2 linked regions of the Macaca mulatta genome follow. The protein of the gene in region 1 purifies or fractionates together with the protein of each later gene. This does not show direct contact. Links are inferred from orthologs where the notes say so. Each region holds a gene or a part of one and is shown in the gene's direction. Other genes may lie near its edges.

What was found.
Region 2: the proteins of USP49 (region 1) and CETN3 purify together in Homo sapiens (affinity purification with mass spectrometry; 4 studies listed by BioGRID and IntAct, with this or other methods). This does not show direct contact. The link is inferred for Macaca mulatta from reciprocal best matches to the Homo sapiens genes USP49 and CETN3.

What each region holds. Positions count from the first base shown.
Region 1 is NC_133409.1:140,370,953-140,376,472, forward strand, and holds part of USP49 (ubiquitin carboxyl-terminal hydrolase 49), read left to right. Parts: intron 1-876; coding exon 877-1,081; intron 1,082-4,879; coding exon 4,880-4,988; intron 4,989-5,520. UniProt on the Homo sapiens protein: Deubiquitinase that plays a role in several cellular processes including transcriptional regulation, cell cycle progression or innate immunity.
Region 2 is NC_133411.1:96,787,424-96,792,943, reverse strand, and holds part of CETN3 (centrin-3), read left to right. Parts: coding exon 1-6; intron 7-1,913; coding exon 1,914-2,028; intron 2,029-5,520. UniProt on the Homo sapiens protein: Plays a fundamental role in microtubule-organizing center structure and function. As a component of the TREX-2 complex, involved in the export of mRNAs to the cytoplasm through the nuclear pores.

The sequences.
Region 1 (5,520 bases):
AATCCCGGCCACTTGGGAGGCTGAGGCAGGAGAATTGCTTGAACCCAGGAGGCGGAGGTTGCAGTGAGCCGAGATCGCGCCATTGCACTCCAGCCTGGGTGATAGATGGAGACTTTGTCTCAAAAAAAAAAAAAACCAAAAAAAAATGTGTTGGGGGGCGGATTGGTGGGCAACTTAAGAGATTCAGGTAAAACCTCTACACTGTGCTTGTGTCTTGGTTTTTAGGGTTTTGAAAGAATGATGAATGGTATGGAAAGGGAAAATTTAATTAGGTTTTTGTTTTTGAGCATGTAAAAGGGGAGTATTTATTAGCACTTCTTCTGTCTCCCCTCCCCTTAGGAAGGTGCACCTGGGAAGGTTATAGTGGGAATGGAGGTCTAATCACAGCATTTTGAGGCTGTGCAGACAGAGGGGTTCAGTGTAGGGCTTCTGCAAGTAACAAAGGCAAAAAGAGAGGTGTGCTGGGCTCTATGGAAGGTCTAAAGTCAAGAGGAGGAATTACAGAGTGAGGGAAGTAGGCAGGGACCTGCAGATTCTCTATATCAGACTGATCCCTTGAGAGACTGCATAATAACTTGCAGTCTGTGCTACTGTACTGTTGAATGTTAGAGCATATTTTGGGAGAGGAGAAAGGTGGGTTGGTATAGTCTCTATGCAGTATGGTTTTTAAATTCCAGCTAGCATCCCATAGTTAGAAATGTACATCAGAAGTAATATACTCTAATTCTTTTAAAGTTATGTTTATTATTTTAATATTACTATTTTTTGAAAATTATACACTTAGTTTTGATAAAGTGTGTCTTTTATGAAGCAAGTAAAACTGTACGCAGGAAGCATGGAAGTTACATAATCTGTAAATCAATCTTTTCATTCTAGGTCACATGTATATCATGCAATTACAAATCTAATACCATTGAGCCCTTTTGGGACCTATCCCTGGAATTCCCTGAACGCTATCACTGCATAGAAAAGGGGTTTGTCCCTTTGAATCAGACAGAGTGCTTGCTCACTGAGATGCTGGCCAAGTTCACAGAGACAGAGGCCCTGGAAGGAAGAATCTACGCTTGTGACCAGTGTAACAGTGAGTGCTGTGTGGAGGAGGGGGCGTAGTGGGGAAGTATAACTGGAATATCAGTTTAACGTGCTGCTTTGTCCTCTTTAGTCAAAAGTAACACTAATGATATTGAATGGTTCTAAAGCATCTTTTAAAGATCTCTTCCTCCCATTTTTCTAAAAATCAAAAAACATGGACTTGTTTTAATTATGTATTAAAAAACAAAACAAGGCTGGGCGTGGTGGCTCGTGTCTGTAATCCCAGAACTTTGGGAGGCTGAGGCAGGCGGATCACTTGAGGTCAGGAGTTTGAGACCAGCCTGACCAACATGGTGAAACCCCGTCTCTACTAAAAATACAAAAATTAGCTGGGCGTGGTGGCAGGTGCCTGTAATCCCAGCTACTCGGGAAGCTGAGGCAGGAGAATTGGTTGAACCCGGGAAGTGGAGGCTGCAGTGAGCCGAGATCAGGCCATTGCACTCTAGCCTGGGCAACAGAGTGAGACTCTGTTTCAAAAAACAACAACAACAATAACAAAAAATGAAACAAAGACCTAGGAGTTGATTGACCTCCTGATTGACATTAGTTGTCATCTTGGAAGGGATTTTAAAGTGTGGCTCCTGAAATGGGGACTCTGGAATGTTAGTACTTAGCTTATTAGTGCTATGGGGCTGCTGCGTAAATTAATGAATGTAGAGTCCAACAGTTCTTACTTAATCTAAACCCAGATGGAATAGCCTTTCTGAGGGATGCGATATCAGAAAAGCATGCTTTTGTAATGAACTGGCAGACTTAATGTCTGTCAAAAGTGATGCTAAAGATTGGTACAGTGGAACCAAGAAAGTAAGTCTTAAGGTACATTGCTCAGTGGCAGCTTCATGAAATATTTTCTGCATTTTTTTTATTCTTCACATGCCTGAAAAGTTCACATTTCAGAGAGGGTCATAAGGAAGTATTTCTGTGTTGTCTGTAATTTTAAAATGGAACTCTTTACATATGGTTACAGAGGCGTGTTATACAGGGCCCTTCCATCTTGCCACACTAACACTTAATGCTTCTGCTAACCCAGTATGGACAGACGAAATGCAGAGCAAATATGTGGATGCTTATGTTTGAGGGTTGTGGCATATATAGATTTGGAAACTAAAAGTATAAAGTTAATGGATTGTACAGAGACCTAGAAATCCATTTTCAGTCACATAATAGTTTAGATTACCAGTTTTGAAGAAAAAAAAATGTTAGGCCAGGCGCAGTGGCTTATGCCTGTAATCCCAGCACTTTGGGAGGCCCTAAGGTGGGCGCCATTGCACTCCAGCCTGGGCGACAGAGCCAGATGCTGTCTCAAAAAAAAAAAAAAAAAAAAGCTAAATTGTGGGAAACCTGTTCCACTCTTTGAAGAATCAGAACAAAAATCAAAAGTCAGGCTTGAGGCCAGGTGCAGTGGCTCATACCTGTAATCCCAACACTTTGGGAGGCCAAGGCAGGAGGATTGCCTGAAGCCAGGAGTTTGAGACCAGCCTGAGTAGCACAGCAAGACCTCTTTTAGGAAAAAAAGAAAAAAAAAAAAACAACCCACAAAGTTATGCTCGATATCATTTTGCCATTTCAAAAGAAAATTTGAAATTTTATACCTGGCTAACTGTAGACTCACCTATCCTGTTCCATTTTGAGATACAGAGTCAGGTGAATCAAATTGTTTCATTAGAGTAATATTAAAAAAAAACAAAAAACAAAAAAACCCAATGATTCCTGAAGCCTTTTACTTGTAATGAACAAAAGAATATTAACAGCTTTAACTCCATCATTTTTGGATATGATAGATTAGGCAAGAAATAACTTTGGTTTATCTTTACAAGAAAGGATTGTTCTTTGGTTGTCAGATGTGCCAATTTATCAGGATTTCTCTAGGCAAGTGCAAATAATGCCAGAGAAGGAAACCTATGGTGAGGAGATGAGATGCATTGATCTGTTGCCTGTGAAGTTTCAAAACTGTCAGTCTTCTACCTGTCTTCCTGGACAGCTTAATGAAATGGAGACAGAACTGATCAATCTCAATTGAATCAGTAATTTATTTTTCTTTGTGAATTTCATTTTAGGGAAACAAAGCCTGACTCTATATTGTCTTCATCTTAGCTCACATACTCCCTCTGCTGAGGGTGGTAGTCACTGCCAGGGTTCCTAGCCAGAGCTGCAGTAATTTTCAAAAAAATGGTGAATAGGAATATAAAATAAGGCCAAGCCCCTCTTTGAATTCCATTTCTGTTCATGCCAGCACATATTGTGACTACACACCCTGGTAAAAGCTTCTCCTATGGCACAACTCATTCTGATGCAGTCTATTATGAGAAGCTACACCTCCACATCCTATTGTCACAGAAAGCTCTGTGATACATCATCTGGCTGTGATTTGCTACCTTTCATGAGTAGTACAGACAGGACTGGGAATCAGATGCCCAGCTCTTCAGACACTGAGCCCATGATATCAACAGCTCAAGACAATTAGCAGAGACTGCCATAGAACACTAATTTTCTACTCTCATCCATTTACCAGTTTAATATAACAAAACAGCCATCAGTAAATGGTTACAGGAAAGGCTTCTGATAGAAACTAAGATAACTCTGTTTCCATTGTTTATTTGCTGAAATTTAGAAATGCATTTCCTAAAGGCTGGGCACAGTGGGCTCACACCCACAATCCCAACACTTTGGGAGGCCAAGGTGGGAGGACTGCTTGAGGCCAGCAGTTCAAGAAATGCATTTCCCCCACATTTAGAAACAAAATTAGAGACTGATCACTAGTTCTGCTTTGGAGTAGATGAATTTAGCCACCTGTCAGCTTTGTCCTTGTATGTCCAGCAATGTGCTTTTATCTAGGAAATATGTTTCAAAAACTAGGCACAGCATAAAAATATAGAACTAACAGTTTATTTTCTAAATGTTTGAATATGCCATAAGCAAATCATGCTAAAGAAAAATGTGTTTAAATACTCTATCATTTAGTAATCTTATCCTTTTTTTCCTAAGCCTGAAATATATGCATTATTCCCTATTTTACTGGTGAGGAAACGGAGGTTCAGAGTTTTGAGTAACTTATCCATTAGCACACAACTAGTTGTGAGCAGGAAGTAGAATTAGGCTTACCTAGTGCAAACAAAAAGCTTCTTAAAATCATATTGTGGGGTATCATAATTGAAGTTATAAGCCATTGTAAAGACATGGAGCCTTAACATATGCTTCTACTCTGTGTGCTTGCTGTTGCACGTTCCATTATATTCCATTATACGCAAAGTTCCTGATGGCAAAAATTGGAAAGATTTGAGTTGCTTGTAACAGTCGACCCAAATAACAGTGACTTAAAATGAGAGGTATTATTTTTCTGTTACATAAAACAAGTCTGAAGGACATTCAGGGCCAGCATGGTGGCTGCATGGTCATCATTGACCCAAGCTATTTCTGTCTTTCTGTTTTACTATCCTGTTGCAAGACTTCTGTCTTCAAAGTTACCTTTTGGTCCAGGAGGAATTCCAGTAGTTTCAGATAGTGGGAAGGCCAAAGGGATGCACCTTACAAGTGAGTCAGCCTTGTATAAGCAGAGTCCCATACAGTCATTCCTTTCATCTTAGCCAGAACTTCCATGGCCACACCATGCAGGCTTGTGAAGCCGGGAAATGCAGTCATAAAGGGGGTCACATTGCACTCCCCAAAAAATTGAGGTTCAGGTACTTAGAAATATGGAGAATGCATATTGAATGGCAAGTCACTGTCTCTGCCATAGCTAGAAAAAACTCTTCACAACCTATGTCTTATACCTTCCCAAACCACATAGGCAAACGACGAAAATCCAATCCCAAACCCCTTGTTCTGAGTGAAGCTAGAAAGCAGTTAATGATCTACAGACTACCTCAGGTTCTCCGGCTGCACCTTAAAAGATTCAGGTGAGCTTGCTGTGGGAGTCCTAGCTGGGTGAGAGCTGTGGGAATAGCTGCTCCAAAGGCTTTGGTGAGGGCAAATGTCTTCTATGGTGTTGGGAGGGGAAGCCTGTTCACTTGAGACCTTGTGTTTTCCATGGAGATTAAATCATTCACATCCACTAAGGCAAATTAATGTGGGAGCCCAGCAGGACTGGGCTTTTGCTGTCATGCGCCTGTGTAATTAATTATCCAGCCTGCACTGGGTATCTGTGCTTAAAGATTTTCTAGCCTGGCTTGGACTTATGTAGAGGTTCATCTTCAGGATGAAATATAAAATAATCTGGAAAAGAAGGGCAGGCAGGAAACTACAAAAAGACTGTTGCTTGAATTGCTTGTTTAGGGATCTCTAGGTTTAGAGTACTTCATGGAACATTCACAGCAAATAAATGGGCCAGGCGCAGTGGCTCATGACTGTAACCCTAGCACTTTGGGACGCCAAGGTAGGCAGACTGCTTGAGCTCAGGAGTTCAAGACCAGCCTGGGCAACATGGTAAAA
Region 2 (5,520 bases), on another chromosome or scaffold:
TTAAAGGTAATGGTATACTTTAAAATACTTGTTTCTGTGTTAAAATGATTTGCATTTTGACAGTTGCTTTACATTACATTTCTAAGTAATTATTTTAACTAAATTGGTTTTGGAACTATGAAGGCATTTTAAGCATTCATAGTTAGATTCTATAATAATACTGAATAGAACTCCTAACACAGTTTTTAGAAAATCTTTTTCACGTGATAAAACGAATAGCATTTTAAATGTAACAATACATTCCTAGGGAAGGTGCTTATTTTTCACTGACATAATTAAAGGATTTCAAACTGGAATTTAAACTATTACCATATTCTTTTCACTGTTTTTTTTGTTTTTGTTTTTGTTTCTTGGTGACTCATACTGTTTTCAGATTGTGGGATTGTTGTCTTTTAATCTTATAATTTGTATTTGTTAGTAACATAGTCTCAATCCACTTTCTGTGGTACAAACAACTTCAGTGCTGTTTGATGTTGACACATGCTTGTAGGTAAAAATGTCAACTTTAAGACCTAGAATGTCAAGGTGTAGAGAGGGATTTGTAAATTATTATTTGTCAGGGTATAAGGAGAGATTTGGGTTTAGGGTAGAATGGGACTTACTTTCAGCACAGTGGGAAAGATAGTATTTTGAGATTTTTAATAGCCTTAATGGATAGGTGAATGTAAGTGTTTATTTGATAGTTTTAATTTTTGTAATTTCTTAAGGGATTTTTAAGCATTAGAATTCCAAGTAGGGATACGAACTATGCAGTAACAGTATAGAATGTATAAAAACAATTAATAGGCCTGTAAGTCTAGCTTTCTCAATCTTGCAGTCCTCTTTAGCTCTCTTTTCCCACTGTTTTTTGTTTTTGTTTTTTGGTTTTGGTTACCCAGATTTGATCAATTCTTCCTTTATAGTGTCTCTTCCATTAGTAACCATTGACTGGTTTCAGACCTTATTTCATACCTGGAGCTTCCTAAATGGTTTGTCTACTTGTAGTTCACCTTGTATACTACTACCACTGAATTTAGATAGTTTAAAAAATCTTTCACCATTGCTTATAAATTGTTCGTTGCTCATAAGCCTTTACTATTAATAACTCCTCATTATATACTACTTAAAGTTCAGATTCCTTTGCTTTCTACTGAATGTTCTCTACACTTTTGCCACCAACTACTTTTTTCATTTGCTAACTGCTTTCTTCCTCCCAAACTCTTCTAATTCACGTGGAATTCACCTTCTAATCCAGGTGAGCAGTTTATCTCACCTGAACTCTTCTAATTCAGGTGAGGTAAACTGCTCTGTTCGTTGTCCTTCAAACCTATTGTTCATTTCAGTGTTTCTTTTAATACTAGTCATCCTTCCCAAATGCCCTACTGCTCCTCTTCATCTGTCCTTCAAGGAACAACTTGAATCTTTCCAAATAAGACTTATCTAGTCAGTAACATGTTTCCTTCCTTGTTACTAGTAACAAAGTCTCTTTTTTGTCTAAACTCAGGGTCCTTCGCCCTATTATTAACCTAATAACTAATCATGGAGATACTGATGATAATTCTTATTTTAATGTTTTATCTCTTCTATCATATAACTTTAATATTTATGCTATGCCTTTTTCTCATTTTGGTTGTTAATCCCGTGATAACAAATAGCAGTCAAATTATCTGTGCAGTAAGTTAGTGCATTTTATATAGTAAACACTTGTTGGTTACTTTGTCATATAAAAATGCAATTTATAAATGAAAAAACTTATACATAATTTCAGTAGTGAAGAACAATTACACTGTCACTGCTATTTTAAAGAGGTAAAACATGCAAAAAAGTTATATTTTACTAATGTGTTTTTATCTCTTAAGATGTAAAAACTTAATAATTAGAAATTCTTTTGTAAAGATTGCTTTATAATTTGCTTTTCCCTTTTAATCCAAAAGGTGGCAATGAGAGCCTTGGGGTTTGATGTAAAAAAAGCTGATGTACTGAAGATTCTTAAAGATTATGACAGAGAAGCCACAGGGAAAATCACCTTTGAAGATTTTAATGAAGTTGGTGTGTATTTTAATAGTCTTTGTAATCAGCAGCTGTTAGGAAATTGTCTGATTAATATGACTTTTTAAATTTTAAATTCTCTAGGTTATGGAATTTTCTTATAGAACACTGGTGTATAATGTGACTCTTACTCAGTTTTGTTTGGGTTATTTTACTTTTTTCATTTTCAAAGAAAAAATATGGCTTTGCTCTGAGATTTATAGTTTTGTCTTTTGTTTTGTTGTGAAGATTCTAGCCAAGGAACTACTGTGTAGCTTTTTATGGAAAGATGCTTTTCCAAGTTATTTGTATTTATATTATGTGATAAAACTTGAAGGGTGATCAAAAAATTATTTTTGCTCAGTAAAACAGAAAATTTGATATCCTGCTGTTTGGAAAATGTTTCCCAAGACCTTTCTGGTATGTGATTTTTGCTGGCTAAGTGGGAGAAGAGGGAACTGGTAGTAGTTGGTATCTTTGGCCGTAGATGAAATGCGTGACTTCAGGTTGACAAAGTTTATGAGAGGCTACATCCTCTGGATGACCTTGATCTTAGTGGATAAAGTCATCTGTTTAGAGGGTAGTAGTAAAGGAGGCAGTGGGCATACTGCAAGCAGGAGAAAACATCCTGGTACCACCAACTGAAGATAATATGTCATAGGCTTAATATGGCTAAATTTTTGTGTAGTTGATTTTAGTGAATTATTTATAGCATACATAGAGCAGGCTTTTTCAAAATAGAAGAGTCTGGAAGGCAAGGGCGTTACTATTGTCTAGGATATTACCTACAAAATATATAAATATTCAGGTTTATTTCTATTTTTTTCCCCCTAAACCAATGGGTCACGATATAAGCACATCATATAAGTATTTTAAGATATTTGGAAACAAATTCTGTTATATACACAAACCCCTTCTTTTAAATATTCATCAAGAAGCAATATGGGAAGCAAAAAGAAATGGCAATTAGTATACGCAGAGAAAATTTAGATTCATGTCATTAGTTTTTTGAATCCAAACGCTCAAGTCAAAAGCAGTTGAGATGGAAAATAAATGATAAACCTAAGAGAAAAAATACAGCACAGAAGATACTCAACTTACGAACTAATATATGACTGTTTAGAGAGGCAACTTGTCTGTTGGGGACATTTTCCTTTTTTCCTCTAATTTGTAGAATTTTTTATTTGAGGAGAAGGAGAGAGCCACCTTTTGTTCTCCCAGAATGGACACTCTCCTGAAGTTTATAATCGTAGTATTCCTAGTTTTACCTTAGATTGTTTATTTGTAGAAACAAGATGTTAGGATACAGTGGAAATGATACTATTAGGAAGGAGCTATAATCCAGGTATGTTTAGTACAGTATAGTGGTTTAGCACTTGGAACCAGATTCTGTTGGTTCATACCTTGGTTTTGCCACTTTATAGCTCTGGAACTTGGTCTTTTTAATACCCTGTGCCTCATTTTCAACTATAAGGTGGGGATCATTGTACTCTCTCATGAGATTCTTCTGAGGATTAAGTTAATAACATGTAAAGTACCTAGAAAAGGGCCTAGCATGTTGTAAGTGCTACTAAGCATTTGTTATTATTATTACTTTAAAAAATTGTCTCTGTTTCAGGGGCTCAAAATAATCATATATGCATCACTGGGACATAAAATAGACTCTGTGTATACTTTTTATTGACTTTTTTTCATAAAGGCTATTGTAAACACTATATCATCACTAATAATTTTACAAAATATTTTATTTCATCTTAAATGAATACAATTTTGAAATTGTGATTTTTTATTGGCAGTTGGGACCAGAATCCCATGCCACCTCCACTTTTTCCTGATGCCCTATCTGTTCTATGTTATTAACAGAGCAGAAATACTGGGTTCCTTTAGAATAAATAGATGTGGCTAAACTTCAGCTTTGACACTCAAAGATTAACCTTTTGACAGGGTCAACACCTATCTTAGCTATCTTAAGGCTACCTATGGAGAGTACCAGGTGTAAAATAAAAATTTATTACTGTTTGGGAATCAGTCAAGAACTATGTATTTCCCCTTTTGTTGATTATTTTTAACTAATCACTGACCACAGATTAATATGTTTTGTACTTTGGGACAAATGATTCTAAATCTTAACATTTGAGTCCTAGTTTTATGAACTACTCAAGGATACTGTTCCACAGATATATCTGGATGAAGTTTGGCAGTTAACTATTATAGATTCTTCCTAGTACTGGAAAAAAGCTTTAAAATATATTTAATGTAAGTTTAGAGTCAAGACAACCTGAGGCTAGTGAGTAACATAGATGTTTTAGGAATTCTGTCTTTAACACCAACATAAGTCAAACGTTTGTACACTATTTTTGACATATACTACTTATTGCTGATTCAGATTATAATAGTGTATTATTGTCTTCATTTTGCTTATTTAACACTGAATTTTTTGGTATTAGGTACTGTACTGGGGTTGGGAAGAAGACGTAATTAAAAGTTACTAAGAGGTTCTTCTTTCAGGGAGTTTACAGTGTACATATAGGTGACAACAGGCTATAGTACTATGTGGTAAATTGTAATTTTGTCTAGGACAGAAGTCAGCAATTATAGCCTTTGGACCAAATTCAGCTGCTGCTTGTACACCACCACACCCATTCTTTTATGCAGCTTTTGTGCTGCTATGGCAGAGTGAGTAGAGACTTTATGCCCCTCTACAAAGCCTAAAGTATTTACTGTCTGGCCTTTTACAGGAAAGATTTGTTAATCCCTGATATAGAGGAATTGAAGACTTTGCAGAGGAGATTTTAAATTTAGGCCTTTGGAAACGTGAGGAGGATTTCATTCCAAGATTGCCAGGAAGAGTAGAGAAAAAGCATTCTAGGCTTAGAAAGCAGCAACAACAAAGAATGGTACTAGAAGCATAGCATGTTTGGGAAACTAGATAGTGTTCTGGGCTAGACGATAGGGAAATAGCTGGAAGTGTAGGATTGGGCCAGACTGGTAAAGTCTTGCGAAACTTAAAAGATTTTGAATTTTAGTTAGCAGAGGATCATTCACAATTTTTAAGGGAAGAGGATATGATATATTTGAGAAAGAAAACTGATGAGAGTATTATTGATGATGCATTGGAAGGAAGAGAGACTGCAGACAGAAAATACTATTTTTTATGCTGAGGATGGCGAGCGTGAAAAGAAAATACATTTAAGAATAAAAAAGAGGCTAGGCTTGGTGGCTCATGCCTGTAATCCCAGCACTTTGGGAGGTCAGGGCGGGAGGATTGCTTGCTCACAGGAGTTTGAGACCAGCCGGGGCAACAAAGTGAGATCCTGTCTCTACAAAAAAAAAAAAAAAAAATTAGCCAGATGTGATGGCACATGCCTGTAGTCCCAGCTGCTTTGGAGGCTGAGGTGGAAAAATTGCTTGAGCCCAGGAGTTGAGGCTGCAGTAAGCTGGGATCATGCCATTGCACTCCAGCCTGGGCAACAGAGCGAGACCTTGTTTCAAAACAATAAAAATAAAAAAAAT